2 linked regions of the Lepisosteus oculatus genome follow. The protein of the gene in region 1 purifies or fractionates together with the protein of each later gene. This does not show direct contact. Links are inferred from orthologs where the notes say so. Each region holds a gene or a part of one and is shown on either strand. Other genes may lie near its edges.

Evidence for each region.
Region 2: the proteins of map4k5 (region 1) and crkl purify together in Homo sapiens (affinity purification with western blotting; 3 studies listed by BioGRID and IntAct, with this or other methods). This does not show direct contact. The link is inferred for Lepisosteus oculatus from reciprocal best matches to the Homo sapiens genes MAP4K5 and CRKL.

The regions. Positions count from the first base shown.
Region 1 is NC_090703.1:13,012,536-13,021,963, reverse strand, and holds the start of map4k5 (mitogen-activated protein kinase kinase kinase kinase 5), read left to right. Parts: upstream 1-5,541; 5' UTR 5,542-6,116; intron 6,117-6,716; exon of another isoform or gene 6,717-6,735; 5' UTR 6,736-6,913; coding exon 6,914-7,021; intron 7,022-9,428. Other genes in the region: atl1 (atlastin-1), read right to left, coding at 3,984-4,017. UniProt on the Homo sapiens protein: May play a role in the response to environmental stress. Appears to act upstream of the JUN N-terminal pathway.
Region 2 is NC_090717.1:9,391,942-9,401,177, forward strand, and holds the start of crkl (crk-like protein), read left to right. Parts: upstream 1-5,351; 5' UTR 5,352-6,276; coding exon 6,277-6,587; intron 6,588-7,746; coding exon 7,747-8,209; intron 8,210-9,236. UniProt on the Homo sapiens protein: May mediate the transduction of intracellular signals.

The sequences.
Region 1 (9,428 bases):
GAACTGACTGATATGTCACAACAATACAATAATAGGGGAGTTGTTAAAATTGGTCTATATCATGGTATGTCGCTAGTGGCTGTGTTGCATATTGACATAGAGATTTTATTGGCTCAGTATGGCAAATTCTGAGGGCTTATGGTGCTTGTCAGAGGAAAAAATACTGTTTGCACTGAATTCATATATCATTCTTTGTATATAGAATGCTACATATGTATACCAGTTTAAAGATGTTTAAACTGAAGACGTACTCCTGAAGAAGGCTACACAGCCTAAATGTGGTGTTTCATTTAGTTTCTTTTCAGCATGGAATAAACTTTTACTGGTTCCTTGGCAGCCTACACATGCCCGATGCAGCTACATACTTGATCTTATACATATATCCTGCCCTATCAAAATATGAGAATATAAAATTCCATAGGATTTGGCCAAACAAGAATATCCAAATCACTGTAGTTAGATAGCCCAGCATATGTAATGACCGATGATTCCAAAGTACTACAAAGCAGTAGCAAACTAGCCCTTTTTCTTCTTTCATGCTGTGCTACACAGTAGAAGGCTGATGTATGTGACTTCACGAATGGTATGCTTTTAGTGCACATGGTTGTGTGGTGTATACTCAAAGGCAACATCAGACCTACCTAATGTGTCACATTTCTGCAGCCTCTGAGTTTACAAGCAGTGGTTGCAGATGCAAATTCTAGCCAGAGTAAATACCGCAATCAAAGGGACAGGTGGAAGATTTCACAACTTTTGAGAAGACCCATGTCTTGATAGACAAATGTCGATACCATGCGTCCACTTGTTTAATCGCTGCTGGAAGTGGACTAATCCACTAATAGGTACATTACAGTATATGGAAAGTTTTGGTAGGGGTACATACATGTACACCTATGTATCTATGTATTTATGTATATGCATTATTCAAAAATATGCAACACTAGGTACAAAGACGGTGATAGGGGAGACATATTGCTTGTTCTTATTCACTGGAATCCCTACTTTCACAACTATTTTTGTAACTCTGAACAAATAATGGTTTCAAGTTATGTAATATACTGCAGACATTGGTGTTTAAGTCTCACCTGGGTGTGTACTGTATATACAGTATATATCTATGCTTTCCAACTTTTCGGTTCACATACAGTATACAACTCACATGACATGAAGTTTGAATCTAAACTAATCCAGTACGTTAAAAGGTACACATTGGAATTAAACGTTTACATCTTGCCACATTCATTATTGAATGATTATGAGGACCGCTCATTTTCCTTGTTTTTTATTTGTTCCAAAAATGAGCGGTCCTGATTAGCTTTACCCAGCTCATGAGACAGTGTGGGAAACGGAGTAAATTGTCAGTGCAGCATAGAGGTGGAAATGTATTCCTCAAAGAACAAAAAAATAATTTGTGAAGATGTGTGAGACCCACACAGTTCCTTATCAGAAGTGTAAATACTTTCCCACCAAGGAGAGTGTTCCCAATCTTTCTACCATCCTATTGAAAGCTACTCCCGGTTTCTGGAAAATGTGCCTCGTTAGAAGCAGAACCTATGAACTGCAGTATAATTGACAAGCAGTTAAAAATCAATAGATTCCATCACCAACAGAGTAGCATGTTAAAGCCATTAATGATAAATGTTTATCGTCTGATTCAGATTGCTAAGTGGGTGGTGCAATAGGTAGGCTTTCCAGGCAATGACTCAGTATAAATGGCCTTACTGCATGTACTTACTGGCCAACACGTAGGCTGCACAGCACAAGCAAATAGGCCAAAGAGATGAACGAGTCATAACAGCAAGGGAATGTGTCTTGAGAAAAATTATTTTGTAGAAAATTCCTTTTTTGGGATGTGGGAAGGCTGTGGTACTAAAAAAATGGGAAAAAATGTAAGAAATCTTTGGCCTGCTGACGAGAACAATGCAGACAAACAGCAAGCTAAAGGCAACCCATGACTCTGAAACTGTTCCCAGAAGAAACAGCATAGTGGGCCAAACATCTGGAATGTGCTTTTGAAGCCAGACAGGTAGTAGAAAGGATGAATAACAAACTGGACTATGATTGCAGAATTAAAGATACAGAATAATAATTGATGTGCCAGAATCTTTCTCTTTGTCTGATTAGTCTATCAAACTGACTATATGTGGTCTTAACACAGAAATCAAATCCCAGCTTGACGTATTCAGCTTTTGGATACACTACAATCTACAGTTGATCCAGTCAGGTAAAAGAAAACTATCCCATCAATCTGTCTTCTGACCAAAGAACTAGACACATCCCAGTGACAACTGCGTATGGAGCAAGCAGACGCTCCAGATGCTAAATCTGTTTAAAACCCAGGGGCACAGATTATTACTGGAGTGGAAGTTTGTATGGGCTGACACGGCTCTTGATTACTTTAATCTGCAAATTAAGTTTGTAAACAGAAAAGCAGACTATTTCAAATTAACTCAAGTTGTGATTTAGAATGCTTTGCCACATGGTGCTTTATATTAACAAGATGTTTTGTCATTGTGGCACATAAACTACAATAAAGAGAAAAACATAAAACAGAATTGAACTACTGTATTTCTGGGGAAAAACACATTTTTTAAAGTACCATCTTTACATTAAAATAGTTTAGAGGCAACTGACCAAGCCAAGAGCTAATCAAACTATGGAAACTTGTCAGCTTCCTCACACTGATCTGATTCTGGCACAGTAGCCTCTTCACCATGTTTTATTTCTAGTTATTTAGATTTTTTAGATGTTCTTCCCAATCAGATGTGCAGTCATTTCATCAAACAATTGTAGACAGAAAACTCCATCTGCCATGTATGTAGGAGCAGGTTTCAAAGATGATGTGATAAGATGTCTTGCAAATATTGACAATGATCCCTACAGCCCACTTGTCTTATTTATTGCCTCTTTATTGTGGTAGTCCTAACAAACAAACCCACTTAATTACATTATTTGGGTTTTGAGGGTATTGATATTATTTAGCTGGCAGACAGAAAATGCATATCTACCCTCCCTGCACTAAAAAGTACTAGATAGTGAAATGAAAGCAAAATGCATGCAGAGCCTGCTCTCAATAATCTTTTAACAAATCTGTGCAGAGAAACCAGGCTGCTAATGGATCATGTGTCTGTCAGCAGCTCCGTCTACAGGTGATCTTTAAATAGTCAAGCATACTAGATACCTCAATTTAAGGCCCGAAACACAGTACTACACCAAATGTCAAAACGGCTGCATAATGTTTAATGTTTTATGTATGTATTTTAATACAATTAAACAAATTGGTTGATACGTCTCTTGTCATTGATTTTTAATACCAATGTTATTTTCAACTAAGATAAATACTTCTAATTCTGAAACGGACATACGTAAACCCTCTGCAGCAAGCTCACAGCATACAAATGTTCTGTGGGATGTTATTGGTGTATTATTGGACTATACGGTTGTGAATTCATTCTATTAGAAGACAAGGCGTGACTTAACAACACTCTGCTCCCAAGCCTTTTTCTCAAACTCCTATTTGTTTCCTGTGCAGCACACAGTCAAGCTGGGTTGGATTTTGGATTCTGCCTCACACTGCTGGCCATATAGAAAGTATAAGATGCATTATGTGGCTGTTGCACCTTGTAGCACTGCATTTGTGAGCAGAAAAGCAGCCGGGGATAGGCCTACACTACTCTGGCTCCAGGCGAGGCTTATTATTATTACAGGAGCTGACGATGCAGTGCTGAACAGGGCCAGCAGTGTATCTCAAGCAAGATGAACATGGTACCAGGGTGAATACTGGTGATGGGTCTGCACAAAGCAGAAAATCTGGAATTGCAGACACCAAGCATCTCCTCCATTATTAATGTGCATAATGCAAACACACATACAGTACACACGGGCATCACTGGTACTCACCAGAACTGCTCCAGTTCCCACCCCTTGCATTTCAAATGTGTTGTTTTGTCAAAAACACGGATAAATAAGAAAGAAGAGCTCACCCCAGCTGTTCCTTTCCTTACGATTCCTGGCCATGGTCCTGTAGGTGCTGTTTTCAGCCCTCTGTGTGCCTGTGTTATTTGTGGTGAATGGGGGAAAAAAAATCCGTCAGTGTGCATGTAGACGTAGGAGGCTCCCTTCGCGATCTGCTCTGAAGATGCTCTCGGCAGCGGGAGGGTGATGGAGCCTCATTTTCAACTCGCAGCTGCATTAGCAGAGAAGTGTCGGCAGGGGGAGGCGTACGGACACGAAACCTTTCGGCTAACATCGGAGAAACCCGCTGGATAGATTAATTACCTTTGCGATGGAAAACTACCGCTTTCCCTGGGCGTTTTTATCAAGCTTTTAAGCACATCATTAACACTATATTAGCGGTTGATGCTTTACCTATTGTAACAGAATAATTTTTGCATTAAAAACAACGGTGAAGGTGATCACAGAGGTTTATTTCCTTGACATTTCGGTCATATTTGATTCGGTAAATTACTTTTACCCTGAAGGCCTGGAACATGTATAAGCTTGTATTCTAACACGTATGTCCAGGTGTGTAACCTGCGCCTGTTTTGAAATGTGACTCACAACATAAATCAAACTCCGTCACTGGGGTATTTAAAGTCGAAGCTGCATCAAGTTCAGTTGAAACTACAGTCAATACACGACGGAAGGTACAATAAAGACACATACTGGATATAAACTATCAATTGTTATTTGTGGACGAGTATTATTATTTTTCTTATTTTTGTAGTATTAACCTGCAGCCTCATACAGGTAACAATCGTTTGTGAAGACGTTTTCTTTACAAAGGTAAAAGATGTGGCTTAAAGGAAGAAAAGTGTTTCAGTGATTCAATTTCACTGGCATTCATTAAATTTCTGATGTGCGCACAAATATGGATAACTTTCCTGGCAGACTTTGATTTTAACGCAGTTTGCCTTTCATAATGATAGCCGTCAGGATTTACGTACTCGGCGATAAGAGCAGGCCACCTTTGAATGTTAAGGTATTTTTTACAATAGGAATATTTTTTACATATTTTATATCTACTTTACTGTATAGCAAACGTGACTTTAATGTAATTCTGAAATAATGCGTTGATGTAACTCACAATGATATTAACAACACCTGTATCCCCACACGTAGCTCCCCACTCAAATGTAGGTAATTTCCATGCACGGAGAATTACGTAACAAGTACATTGGAAACGTTTTAGACTGTAACTTCAAAATGTTTAAAATGCACTCTACCAAACCTTTAAGAAAGATGTATTATCTTCTCGAATAAACGTCGCTACCCATTACTTCCTTAAGACAGAAACGGAGAATTAAGTAAATGCAATTAGTCTTACAGAAAGTTAAGTTGCTTTGCAAGTATAAAAACTTCATGGTGTATATATCACGTTCAAGGGGAAAATGCAAATTCTGAAGTTTTATACATGGAGTTGTAGACCTAACTACTCCTCATTTTTAAAATCTGGATTGGTTTGAAGCATATTCACCGGTAGATGGCGGTATGTGCCAATTCCCAATATAATCTGTCGCAATCCATAGCCTGGAGCATCAAATGACGCTCCTTCAACTGGAATGCAGCCTGCTGTTTTAATTGTTTTACTTATGAGACCATTCTGACCCAGAACGGCGAAGAAAACACCCTTTTTATCAGATGGTTTGTCTTTTTTTGTTTGTTTGTTTTTTTTCCCCACTGCCACGTTTCTTTTCACTTTTTTTATGAGAAGGTCTCCAGCAGCAGTTTTCGGCGGCGCTGGAAGCATAGGGAAATAGAGGAAGAAAATATTTCAGACAAATTTCGATTTTTTGGTTGTTGTCCTTGTTGTTTTCGAATTACGCGGGGCGCGAAACGACTGCCGGCCGCCTGCTTGTTTTGGTGGCTGCCGCCGAGGGGTCAGACATCAGGCTGGCCGTGTTGTCATCGGGAGGAAGTGACATTGGATGTCAACGTCGAAAGTGAGGCGGAGTGGAGGACTGAGAGGTGCCAGTGGAGCTGCTCGCTTAGGGGAGAGATATACATTTTTTGAGGACAAAAAAAAAAACCCTTCTCAATTCGACGTCTGATCGTTTTCAAAGACTTCGAGAAAGTGTCCGAACCGAAGCCCTTGGCGTCGATCATCCCTAAACAAGGTATTTAAGAGTTTAGCTGTGTTTCGGGATGCGTGTGCTTCGTGCACGGACGGTGTGCAAGCATCTAGCTACTAGAGAAATTGTTCATTAGTATATACATATCCTTATATGACGATTAACACTGTCGAGCAATTTAAGCCAGCTCACGTTCACCTGCTTTTTAATGCAGCCTGTTCGTGGTAATGTAAATTGTAACTACATTTAATGTGTGTTTTACAGTAATTTAGCTAGAGCTATACTGTATATAGTATATATAGAGTACGTGTAGTATACAAGTTTGTTTATACCGCTACTTTAAAAAAAATATGGAGTTGTAACATCGCAAAGAACCTACTTAATGTCAGCAGAAACCTACAGCTAAATTGCCCAGTGTTTGTGTATAGTGCTGAATTTAAAATGGAGTTGTAGTAGCGTGGTATTCATTCTCAATTACGCTAAAAACAAGAAGACTTGCAGCTAGTAGCACTATGAGGTAGACGTGCGATTCTGTGCTTTTGAGCTTTTCCGTTGCGCAGTAGCTTTGCTCACATATTTTAGCCGTGGGTCCCGCTTATATCTGTTTATAGTGTCCTGATGTGTGTGCCAGTGTTTCACACTCACTTTTCTCTCTTCGCAGCAGGAAATGGACCAGAAGCCATATTTGGAAATAAGAACTTTCCTTCTTTAAGAAATAAAATCCCGAAGGAAATCGCACACAGTTTGGATATTGTTTTGAATTAAACAGGATTCCATTCGCGTTCCCTTTCCCCCCCTTTTAACGGATTTTTATTTAATGTAAGAGGAGAAAAGTAACTACCATGGAAGCTTTTTCCCGGCCCAGCGGGGAGATCCTGAGGAGAAACCCACAACAGGATTTCGAGCTCATTCAGCGAGTTGGGAGCGGAACTTATGGGGACGTATATAAGGTATTTTTCTCATCGACTTAAAAAGAGTACAGACATTCATTCTTGTTCCTATGAAGCGAAAGAGGTAGTTTCACGTCAATACATCCGTGTACGGGCAATTGTCACAACAGGGGCGTGCGAACACAACGTTTACGTGAGCTACAGACAAACTACTGGCGTTTTGAATTTCTTTATCTCCAGGCTATACGCATCGGTATGTGAAGAACGAAATTGTTTTTATCCTGTTGCATACAGACAACACAAACAGTAGTCGGTATTGTGTCGCATCTAAAGCGTGGCGCAAGGTTTGGAGCCGTCTGCGGTCCGGTGAGCTGTCCTGCATCACATGCACTGCGTGTTGCTTACACAAGTGCCCAAGGTTTTATACCGGAATGTTAAGAAGAGAGCATTCCTTGTGATGTGATGAAACCTCTTGCTTTTGATGCGACTCTTTTGTGGTGTGTGCAACAGCTACCACCATAGTTTTAAGGTACAATAATGTAAATCGTATACAGAAAGTGTATTCGTGCTCTCCGCCATGAACTGGAGTCATCTGCAACGATACACGGCGTGGAGTGAGTTTGTATTTGGAGTCGTCCACGCAGACATCAGAGATTGACATCGCTTTGAGATGCAAGGGTGCCGTTTCCAAAGTAATTCAGGACTTTCCGACTTGTAAAACGAAGAGACATCCCTGCATGATTGGTGGGAATTGTACTTATAAAAACGGTGGCTGATAACGTCCGTAAACTTTCAGAATATTGTGTATTCAGCTAAGCCGCAGTCAACAGAACAGGCTTTTATGCCAGTGTTTCTGTGGCTGATGACTTTTTCCAATGTCTGGTTTGGACTGCTTAAACCGCACATTGGGTTCTATATGAGTTTATTTTTTTCATATGGGTTATTTATGGTGCCGCATCACTCTCTGCTTGAAGTAGTGAGGGAACTTTAGTCCTGATATAAACGTTACATTATTTGTGAATGATGAACTCAAGTATTTCATAATGTGGATGTCTCTAGTATTAGGTGGTGTTATTTAGGTGTTTGTTTTTTCCTACAGGAATTAGCGTAATTGAATTTGCAGTTTGTAGAATTATGATTAAAGAAAAACTGCTTATTATATTGTGTATGGGTAATGTCCTGGTCCAAGACCGGAAAGCGTGGTGAGAGATAATAATAATAATAATTGCTTACACTTCTATAGCACTTTTCTGGACACTCCACTCAAAGCGCTTTATACAGTAGGTAATGGGGACTCCCCTCCACCACCACTAATGTGCAGCTCCACCTGGATGATGCGACGGCAGCCATAGTGCGCCAGAACGCTCACCACACATCAGCTATCAGTGGAGAGGAGAGCAGAGTGATGAAGCCAATTCATAGAGGAGGATTATTAGGAGGCCATGATTGGTAAGGGCCAATGGGGAATTTGGTCAAGACCCCGGGGTTACACCCCTACTCTTTTCGCCCTGGGATTTGTAATGACCACAGAGAGTCAGGACCTTGGTTTTACGTCTCATCTGAAGGACGGTAGATGGCCTATAGAATCGCAGAGAGTCGGATCCGACTGACCGGATAACGTCATCATCAATGTCCTGGTATTCTCCTGATACAGTGTTTGGTTTCCTTATTCATGTTGAATTGTACATCATGAAATACATAAACGGAACACACACTGGTGTAGTAGTAGTAGTGGTGGTGGAGGGGAGTCCCTATTACCTGTTAAGCTCTTTGAATGGAGTGTCTGGAAAAGCGCTATATAAGTGTAAGCAATTATTATTATAGTGACCTGTCAGCATTGTATGTTTGAAAACCAAAGTGTTGCTAAAATGGTAAACTATGTTTGGCAAAAAGCATGGCATATTAAAATCAGAACGTAATAATGAGTTGTCATGGTTTGTTCCCTGACTGTAGATATTTGTTCTGCAGATACAGTGTTTGTTCTTCTTTTGATCTTGTTTAGCATCAGTGCTTCCTAGGCAGGTGACACTGTGCACCTGAGTTATAGATAGATCAGTCAGTCCCTTACTCATTTAGATTTCAGTGTTTCCAGCAGTGTATGTGGTGAGCTTTATTATTGATCTTTTCTGGAAGGCACATTCATATTCTCCTGATCACTGTATGTCTGTCCATACAAATTTTCAAGACTAGGTTACTTTTTGGAGAATGTGCTTTCTGTTCTGTTGCACAACGGAATGTGGAATGGTCTCCCAGCATGCTTTAAAGACAGTCAGCACTTTTATATCCTGTCTTCTAACTTGCTTTTATCTTCTAACTTTTAATTCTGTTTTTCTCTACTGTACTGACATGTCTGTTTTGCCTTGTTTTGTTTTATTGAAGAGTGACTTGAGATGTCACGAACATCACTTGATAAAGAAGAGGCTGTAATTCTCCTCACCACAGTGGTGTAAGTCGAAACAAAGAGGTC
Region 2 (9,236 bases), on another chromosome or scaffold:
ACACATTTCTACCTAGTGAGATTATTGGGCAGAAACTAAAATATTAATGTAAAGAATATAGGCCTTCGCTTCACAGTCTCTTCTGTAATTCCTCCTTTGAGACAGCTTCCCTCTTGTCAAAAGGTGATTCCCGGATGACACTGGATTCTTGCTCAGGCCAGAGTGACTGCTAGCTGAAGGATGATTACAGAAGTGAATCTATTTAAAAAAAGACTCCATTCTAAACAAGTAGAGAGGACTGCCTGTTTTCATTGGTGTCGCTTCAGTGAAACTAACCTCTTTGTGCCTTGTGCGTTGACATAGAATGGGACAAAACGCTACTAGAATAACTTACACTCCATATTTGAATTGATTGAGTCTTCTGAGGACCGTGTATGGGTCTACCACAAATTATCAGATGAACCATGTTTGTCTCAGGTTCTGGCTTAATTTCATATCATTGACATTTCAGAACCTACCAGGATTATGTGACGATCTCATATAATGTTCTGCTCTTTCCAGTTTTTAAGTGACTGATTTTTCTACGTAGAAAAACAGTTTTTTTGCATTGGTTCTTCAGATTTCTGTTTCACGCATGGAAGGTTTAAAATAAAAAAAAAAGCTGTTTCCTTTTAAATGCACATTATCTTTCTGTGGAGGGTCAATAAATACTGTACAACAGCTTTAACCAAAATGGACGTTGTGTGTTTTTTCTAGTAGACTAAATTTCTGTGTTGTGGATAATCTGACATTTCCAGTGTGTACTGTATGTGACTAATGACTCATTCTTACACGCATATCTTTAGATGAGCTGTGTACCTATAGTGTATTACAGAGGCAGATAAAGGCGGCTGCATGTTAAATGTTCACAGAAATAATAGTTAATTGCTTAAGTGTCTGAGTCATTAGTTGTTTAAACAAGATTGCTGACAACAACATGCAGCCGTCATCAGAGAATTCTTAAAATAGATTTTGTTTCACCAGGAAAGTCTGGGGATTGATTTTTAAACTGCCTGCTTCCTGTTACCAAACAGAATCTTCCCATACAGTAAAATTATGTAACCAGTTTCCTCTACCCAGCAGAATGCTTACGATGATACAATCTCAGTTTCTGGCAGCGGCAATGAACTGCACTGGTCAAATCAGATTCTGAATGCCAGAGCCAAATAGTAACTGTAAAGAGGATTATGCATTTGTGTGATAATTGGTTAGAACTGTCACAACAATGGGCTCTGCACCAAGAAGCTTTATGGGCTGTTAATGTTAGGGTTCAAGTCAAGAAGACATTCTGTACCTTTTTTCTTCCAGAATCACTTTATTCCCTGACTGCTTTACACTTATTGCTGCTTTATAGATTTTAGTGTAGCTGCAGTAGTCATTCCACTACAGAAGGGAGCGTCCCATTGTTAAGTGATATAAGAACAAATGATGCTGTCGGAGAGGTTTGACTAACTGTTGTGTATCCATGTTGTGTGCAAATGACAAATAAACTTATTTTAATATCCTTATACAATACCTGCTTATATAGTGGTTGTACCCTAGGTGATGAGGGGATCTAATCCTGTTATTTTGTATCATCTTAAAAAAACATGGTTGGGTCACTTGTGGGAGTCTGGAACAACCTTTCCTGTAGTTTCCACTTTTGTCCTCTGGCTAATGTTTCACTGTTTACTCCATGGAAGAATGACATCTGAAGATTTTCAAAACTCGAATCATGTTTCTTTGGTCAAGACGAAAAAGCACTTTTTAGCCTGCCAGAGTGGGACAGTACTTTGCCATTCATATGCTCTATCTGTATAAATTATGAATATTTTTTTATCAAAAAGGATTCTAACAAGTTATACAAAACCTGCTGCTTCCAAATCAATGTTGACTGCACTGTAGAATTAAATTTCCATTCAGATGACCCTCTGGTGTAGTTCTTATGGTTTTCATTACCTTTCATGTAGTCGGATTTAAGATTCATTGGTCTGTGATGCCTTGGTTTGATTTTGTCACTTTTTTCATGGATGAGTGCTGCATCCCATCTCTAGAGACTGCAGTGAGAGCTTTGTTAATGGACTATGAATAGCATCTCTTGTTTCCTTAAGTAGGAGTAGTAGAACACTGAAGATGTATCTTAATTGTTTCTAGTAGCTGTAACATGCCTGCATTTCTATGCTAATGCTGTTTAGTATGCGGTTTTGTCTCTTCTCATCCTGAGGTATGTTGTCTATTTCTTCCTTGGTGAAACCTGAGTGAAATATTAATTTATCAGTCATTTTGTCTTTAATTATCTAAGTGTTTCCCAATTTTATCCCTGAGACACTTCACCTTGAACTTCTCCTTTGCTATTGAAATACAGAAAAAAATGTAGGCATGAGGGAGTTCTGTCGTGCTCAGCGGGAAGAAGGAAGAAGTATTATGTTTATATGTGCGTGCTACATTTTTTAATTTTTATCTCCAGAGCCTCTCACCCACTTATCATGGATGGCATTAGCACAGATTTCCACAGGGAAACAATCTAGGTTACGGCCTACTTTTTTTTTTACAAATTCTGCCCCATGATCAGGTGAAACTCAAAACTAGTGTAATATATACTATATATAACTCCTCATACCTAACTTGCAAACTGCTAATTGTTAGGGGTAGAAAACTATTAAGGGTTTAATTAAGAATCTACAAGTCAAACTAAAAAAGAGTCCTACAGGTACTCATGTCACAAGGATCAACACGGCCAAGACCTGCATCATGAAAAAGTCTCATTTCAGTTTTGTGAAAAGGATTTAAGTGGAAAAACTGTCCCCATCCTCAATATTCTATTAAAAGTATAAAAAAAACTTTTTTTTTATTTCAGTGCTTGCAAATGATTCTTGAAACAGCAGATACACTCTATTGTATTCCCATTATTGACATTGACACATTATAATTCCACGGGAATTTAAAAATAATATATTGTTACAGAATTTTAAAGGTGTTTATTTCAGATTACAACTGTGTAATGAATCACACGTGAATTTGCAATTGTTCAATAAAGTGTTACTTATCTTTACAGGGGTGTTGGATAAACTTGGTTTAAAATAAGAGTGTAGCCACAAAAACCTCTCTTAATGATAGAAGGAGCACTGGTGATGGGTTTCTGTTTGTATAGGGATATAGCTTCTTTACAGGTCTTTAAAGCTACATATTTTAAAAATGTAAAACTTCACAGTATTTCTGCAGCTTCATTATTTTGTGTGATTCTTATAAAAGTGTTTTGTGTACTCTGATGTTTTATCATGTCATTTTACATTTAATATTTTTACTGCAAATACAAACATATATTTCAGTTTTCAAGATGTTTTATAAATGTTTTTAAATAAAATTAACTTATGTGATTAAAATCAGTTGTGTAGTTCAGTGCATTTCCACTATAGTGAATGAAAGCATGTATTTCAAATACTGTACATTTTGGAAAGAAAATCTGAGTTAATATAAGTAGGTACTTTAATATCTAAAAACCATATTAAAGTCTGAAGCAGATCAATACTCTGGCTTGACAAAAAGTGATGATCTGAAGACACTAATGTGAGAAGATTAGTACTGTATAAATTCACCCTCTTTTATTATATAAAGAGGCAGGCTTATTCTTTTCACCCTGGAGCATTAAAAGATTAAAATACATACAGAATCAATCCACGTTGTCATTTTAGAGCAAACACAGCCCTTCTGTTTATAGCTTGTCATGTTGCAACATCCTCTTTTATAATCGATGTTCATCTAAATTAAAAATATATCTTTCTTACTCAAACATTATGCTTTTAGAAAGATTGAAATGTAAGCTAATTTGTGTATTAATGCAAAAAGCATCTTTATATGTTACGCATGCAATGCGTGGCATATTATTGCTAAAGTACACTCTTCCAAAATTGTAAGTAATATTAAATTTCCATTTTTGCACATCGATAATTTGCACTCGTCCTCTCTCTCAGGGAGTTATGTGAGAAATTGGCACGCGTCCGCCAATACGAACCAGTGGGTGCAAAACCATTTATATTCGTCCAGACTGGGTCTCTGTGAAAAGCTAGGCCGCGTTCCAGTGGCTTTTTATGCAACCCGGACACTCAAAGCCTGTTTTTCCAGCCTCGTAGGAAAAGTGAATTCTTCCAACCCCTTCTTTGAATTCCCAGCACAGATGAGGAAATGGGGATCTCTGGCTTTAGGCCACAGTGTTATGCTGGAGCTCTCTCAACAAACAACTGACATTCTCTGTCAATCCCCTTCATCAGCGACGCACTTAGGAGGGGTTTCGGTATGTCTCCTGCATCCCAATGCCGAGGCACTCATTTCTGAACACAATTACACTGCAACTGTGGAGACCTGTGCTCTGGATAACCGTCCTGCCAATGTCTCCAAGGCAGGGAACAAAATCTCCACAAAAGCCATCTTCACAGAGTTCTTCACAAGAAATGAAATGTCTTACACGATTCAAATCTAATGTTTATAGAGCTCCAAACTGTGTGAGATGTTGGTAGTGGATGTTTTGCTTTTAAAAATACCTTTAGGATGTGGCAGATTTCTGCGGTCTGGCTGGCAGGTTTAAACAGGGAGTGGAAACCTCAAAGTCTGTCCCTATATGTATATGCTAAAGGAAAAAAATAATTATTTGCATTTGCATGTGTGTAGTGTGCTGGTCATTTCTGCTTGTATTTTCACAACCCCCAAAATATGAACGGTAAAGGCATTAAAGTGGACGTTTTTTTTCATGCTGTCGCTGTAAATGTACTGATGTACTGTATAAACTGCCGCCATAAAGCTGTCTTTGGCGTTAGCACTTATTTGAACAATTTTTAAGAGATGGTTATCACCAACGTGCATGCTCAATGGTGCGATTGCACAATGCCCGCAGATGAGCGCCAGGGGGTCGAGCAGTTCCCCGGAGGGGTGAGAAACCTACTACAGGCCAGCGGTGCAGCGTCGTACAGAACCGTTGCCTGCGCATTTCATAAATTCTGTCAAATCTAAGCGAGACGATGTGCGTTTACGTCTCAAGATACCGACATTGCGCCTTTTAATGTTCTGATTAAACGTAGGTGCCCCCTTACAAGACACGTCGTGGCCCGATTTAAGTGGTTTGGCTTGGCTGACTTTGGTCTACAAACTGCGAGACGATTTTTTTGGGGGGGTTGTTTTTATTTATTTTTTTCCGGCGAGGATGGTGCCTTTTTATAATGTCTGCTTTTGAAAGGACCCCGCTGTAGACCTAAAAAGCAGCAACAACAACAAACAAACACGGGAAAAAAAAAACAACAACCCGCGACCGATCACGACGGCTCCGCACGGGCGCTCGAGCCTGCCCCCCCTCTCTCCGCTTCCTCTTTGGTGCGCGAGGAGGCAGAAGCCGCGTCACCTGCGCGCGGGGTAGAGCTGGGAGCGCGCGGACCCGCCCTCCCCGCCGCCATTTCTGAGTCGGGCTGTGTGAGGCAGGCAGGCGGATTCCTGTATCAACAGGGTGAAGTGGGGGAGCCGCGAAAACGTACCTGAGTAAGGGCCTACCCGCGTTCGTCCGTTTTGTGTGGGGTTTTTTTTTTGTTTTAAAAAAAAATCCGAAAGCGTCGAGATCCGCTGCCGAGTGGGGGGGGGGATTGGTGACACCCGAGAGGCTGGAGACGGGCTGTTCTGCAGCACAATTCATTTTGCTTTTCGGGAGACGTGCGCGAAGGCCGCCATTTTCGTCAGCCTGCTTTTGGAAACTCTGTACCGGAGTCGAGAGAGAGAGAGACAGAGAGAGACCCCCCAGCCTTGTTGTTCCCCCACCCTCCCTCCGTCTCGGGAGCTGATTATTGCCGGCAAATCTGCGGGGTTGAGCCGGGGCCGTAGTCGTAACGCCGTTGAGCAAGATGGGGGACAGTTCGGTACAATAATATTTCCCGTTAGTTCAACGGACTGGCAGCGGCGGCTGAAGAACATTGTTTCGGCAGATGGTTGAGCGCTTCTTAAAGAGCTGCCAGAAAGCGGGCGCTCCTTCCTGCTGCTTGGGCCCTTTTCTAGGTCGTTGACATAGCGGGCGGTGGAAAAAGGCGGCATTATAATGTGTCCAAGTCGGCCTCGTAGCTAGAGCTCTCTTGTGAAACGTCAGGGAGGAAATCGGCGTTGCCGGTCGGGGCTGCCATCGTTTTAAAACTTCGTGCCGCGATCGGGGTGGGTGAAAACTCGCCCTTGAGCTCTCAACGAAACTAGGCGTTTCCAACCCACCCCCCCAAAAAAAAAAAACCGGACGTTTTTTATTGATTTTTTTTGTTCTTAATCATTTGGATCCCGTCTCGAGTCCGCCCCGCCATGTCCAACGCGCGGTTCGACCCCTCGGACCGGTCCAGTTGGTATTTCGGGCCGGTGTCGCGGCAGGAGGCGCAGAACAGACTGCAGGGGCAGAGGCACGGCATGTTCCTGGTGCGGGACTCCTCGACGTGCCCGGGGGACTACGTGCTGTCGGTGTCCGAGAACTCCAAGGTGTCCCACTACATCATCAACTCGCTGCCCAACAAGAAGTTCAAGATCGGCGACCAGGAGTTCGAGCACCTGCCGGCCCTGCTGGAGTTTTACAAAATCCATTACCTGGACACCACGACGCTGATCGAGCCGGCTCCGAGGTGGGTGCCATCGGGTTGGGGTCTGCGGCTGCAGCGAGGAGGAGGAGGAGGAGGGTGAACGCATTTGTGTGCGGGCTGTGAACTTCGATTTCCTGTTTTTCTTTTTATTATCTGTTGAGGGGGTTTAGTGTTGGTTTTTGTGTGTGTCTGTGTGTAAACCTAGTGCTTTGCCTGGAAGCCTTTCTGGTCAGTTCTTCCCCTTACTTGCTCTCGGGTGCTCAACTTCCGTTTTATTTTGAATCGAGAGGCGAGAAGGAACTATCGCCCTTTCAGGCTCGCTTGCTGGACGGGCTCGTTAATGTGGTCTTTGATCTTCTACCCCCCCCCCCCCCCCCCGCCAGAAATAAAAGAAATAAGATTGCATTGTTTGGGGGATATGCTGAAGATGGACCAAGAATAAAACTACTGTTCGCTCACTAGAATAGTGTGATATTGGGTTGAACGCGAGCTCTCAAATTTAGTGAGAAGTGCTTGGTTTGCTTGAGGGGGTTTAGGTTTTGTCGGAAACATTGGGGGAACTTTTAGCTTGTATATCTGTAAATAAGGAAAGGATACCAGGAAATCGGCGAAGCTGGTGTTGTGACAGCAACTAGTATTACATGTTGCAGACAGAAACCCCATGAGATATATTACTTTGTGGGCTCCTCTTGTTTCTCTTACCTGTTACTCTGTAGTTCGAAGTCAGTCTTATTTCAAATAACCTGTTAGAGGCAGTGCAGAACATTATGAAGAGTCCTTAGGTGACATGACCAGTTGGGGTTTCATTTTCAAATTGTCTGCTCAATTTGAAAATGAGCACTTTGGGGCTTTATTTTGAGACTTTTAACTTTGTTTTCTTAGCTTTTATGCACTTTAGCAATTAAACAAGCATAGATCTGTTTTAAGAAATAATAAATGATTGGTCAAGACCAGGTGGAAATTGTGCCAGAACACCAGGGTTAACACCCCTGCTCTTCAAGGAATGCCCTGGGGTTTTTAATCCCCTTGGTTTGTATTAAACAAAGCCGCAGGAATTATTTCTAGAGCAGTTTTCTACCATTTTGTAAAATCTTTGTTCCGATGGTACCATTGAAGAGACGAAACTGTTAATTGAGTTGCTTTGTGTTCCCGACGGTTGTTTTTGGGTTGAAGTGGGTCATGTGTGCGTTGCTCTTTTCAGATACCCAAATCCGTCTGTTGGGACCAGTCCCGCGCCCGTGGGACAGCCCGAGGAGAATCTGGAGTATGTTCGGACTCTGTATGACTTCACCGGGAGCGATGCCGAGGACTTGCCCTTCAAGAAGGGGGAGATCTTGGTTATCTTGGAGAAACCCGAGGAGCAGTGGTGGAGCGCCAGGAACAAGGAGGGACGAGTGGGCATGATCCCTGTGCCTTACGTAGAGAAGCTGGTTAGACCATCGCCACATCAGCACCAGTTCCATGGCAACAGGAATTCAAACAGCTATGGCATCCCTGAGCCTGCCCACGCCTACGCCCAGCCTCAGACACCCTCCCCTCTCCCCCCTACCACCCCAGGCGCAGTCATCAACCCCTTGCCCTCCACACAGAATGGACCTGTAATGGCTAAAGCCATCCAGAAACGTGTGCCTTGTGCTTATGACAAGACTGCCCTGGCACTAGAGGTAGGATCTGCATTTCTCTGTTCTTAATGATGTACCCCGTTCTTAATGAACTTATTTTCACCCATAACAATTTGACATTGCTCTTGCTGCTAATTGCACCACTTTTCATGAATCTTTGCCTTTTCTGCTTTGTTTTGATGTATAACATCTATGTCATGTTTGATATTAAACTTGAGTGTGGACTGTGATTGCACTGATTTCAGCCATGCTGTAAACTACGTACAGTTTTAAGGCTTCAACTATTAAAATGACAGCAAAGTCTAATTAGGGAAAGCTTTAACATGTTCCATTTAGAGTGTTAGTTTGGATTTTTTTTCTTTTCTTTTCACTAGCTCCATTTGTGTTCATTCCCCTGAGCGAATGTGCAAATTAGGTTGCTGTTCACGATAATGAAAATGCACTCAGAAATAGAAGGTGTAATTGGGTGCAAAAAGACCGACACATCATTGCTCATGCTATTCAGGGGATAAACTCGAGAATCTAATTTGGTGGAAATAAATGATCTTCATGTGCACGTCTAAAATTACTATATACCTTTATATATTAAACAGCTAGCATGGATGCAGCTGTCTTGTAAGTGGAAAGTCATTTATCTGAGCATTCTTCAGTGCACTTCGTGAACAGATTATAATACACTGCACTCTAAGAAACTACGATCTTCTTGTGCTGTTCATTCATCCATGTTGGATACAGCACAATTCTAGTCTAACATGACAGAGAACCTGAATTAGATGATTAAGACAGTTTCGCAAACTTTTTTCACATTTATGGTGCGACTCTAATCAAATCTCCAAAACATATTAACAGCACAATTCTTGATCTTTTTATGTCTCTTCTTCAAAAGAAGAGATTAAAGAGATTTTTTTTAAGACAGCCTCACCCTTAGCATTCAGTGGAAGCTGTACTTGGCAAGCAAGGGAGAAAATATCTGTAGGGTATAGCTTCACCTGGAGAAATACCAGAGAATGGGTGTGGGGAGCAGATTGAGAAAGCACAATATTGTATTTGTGCTAGTTTCCCCCGAGGA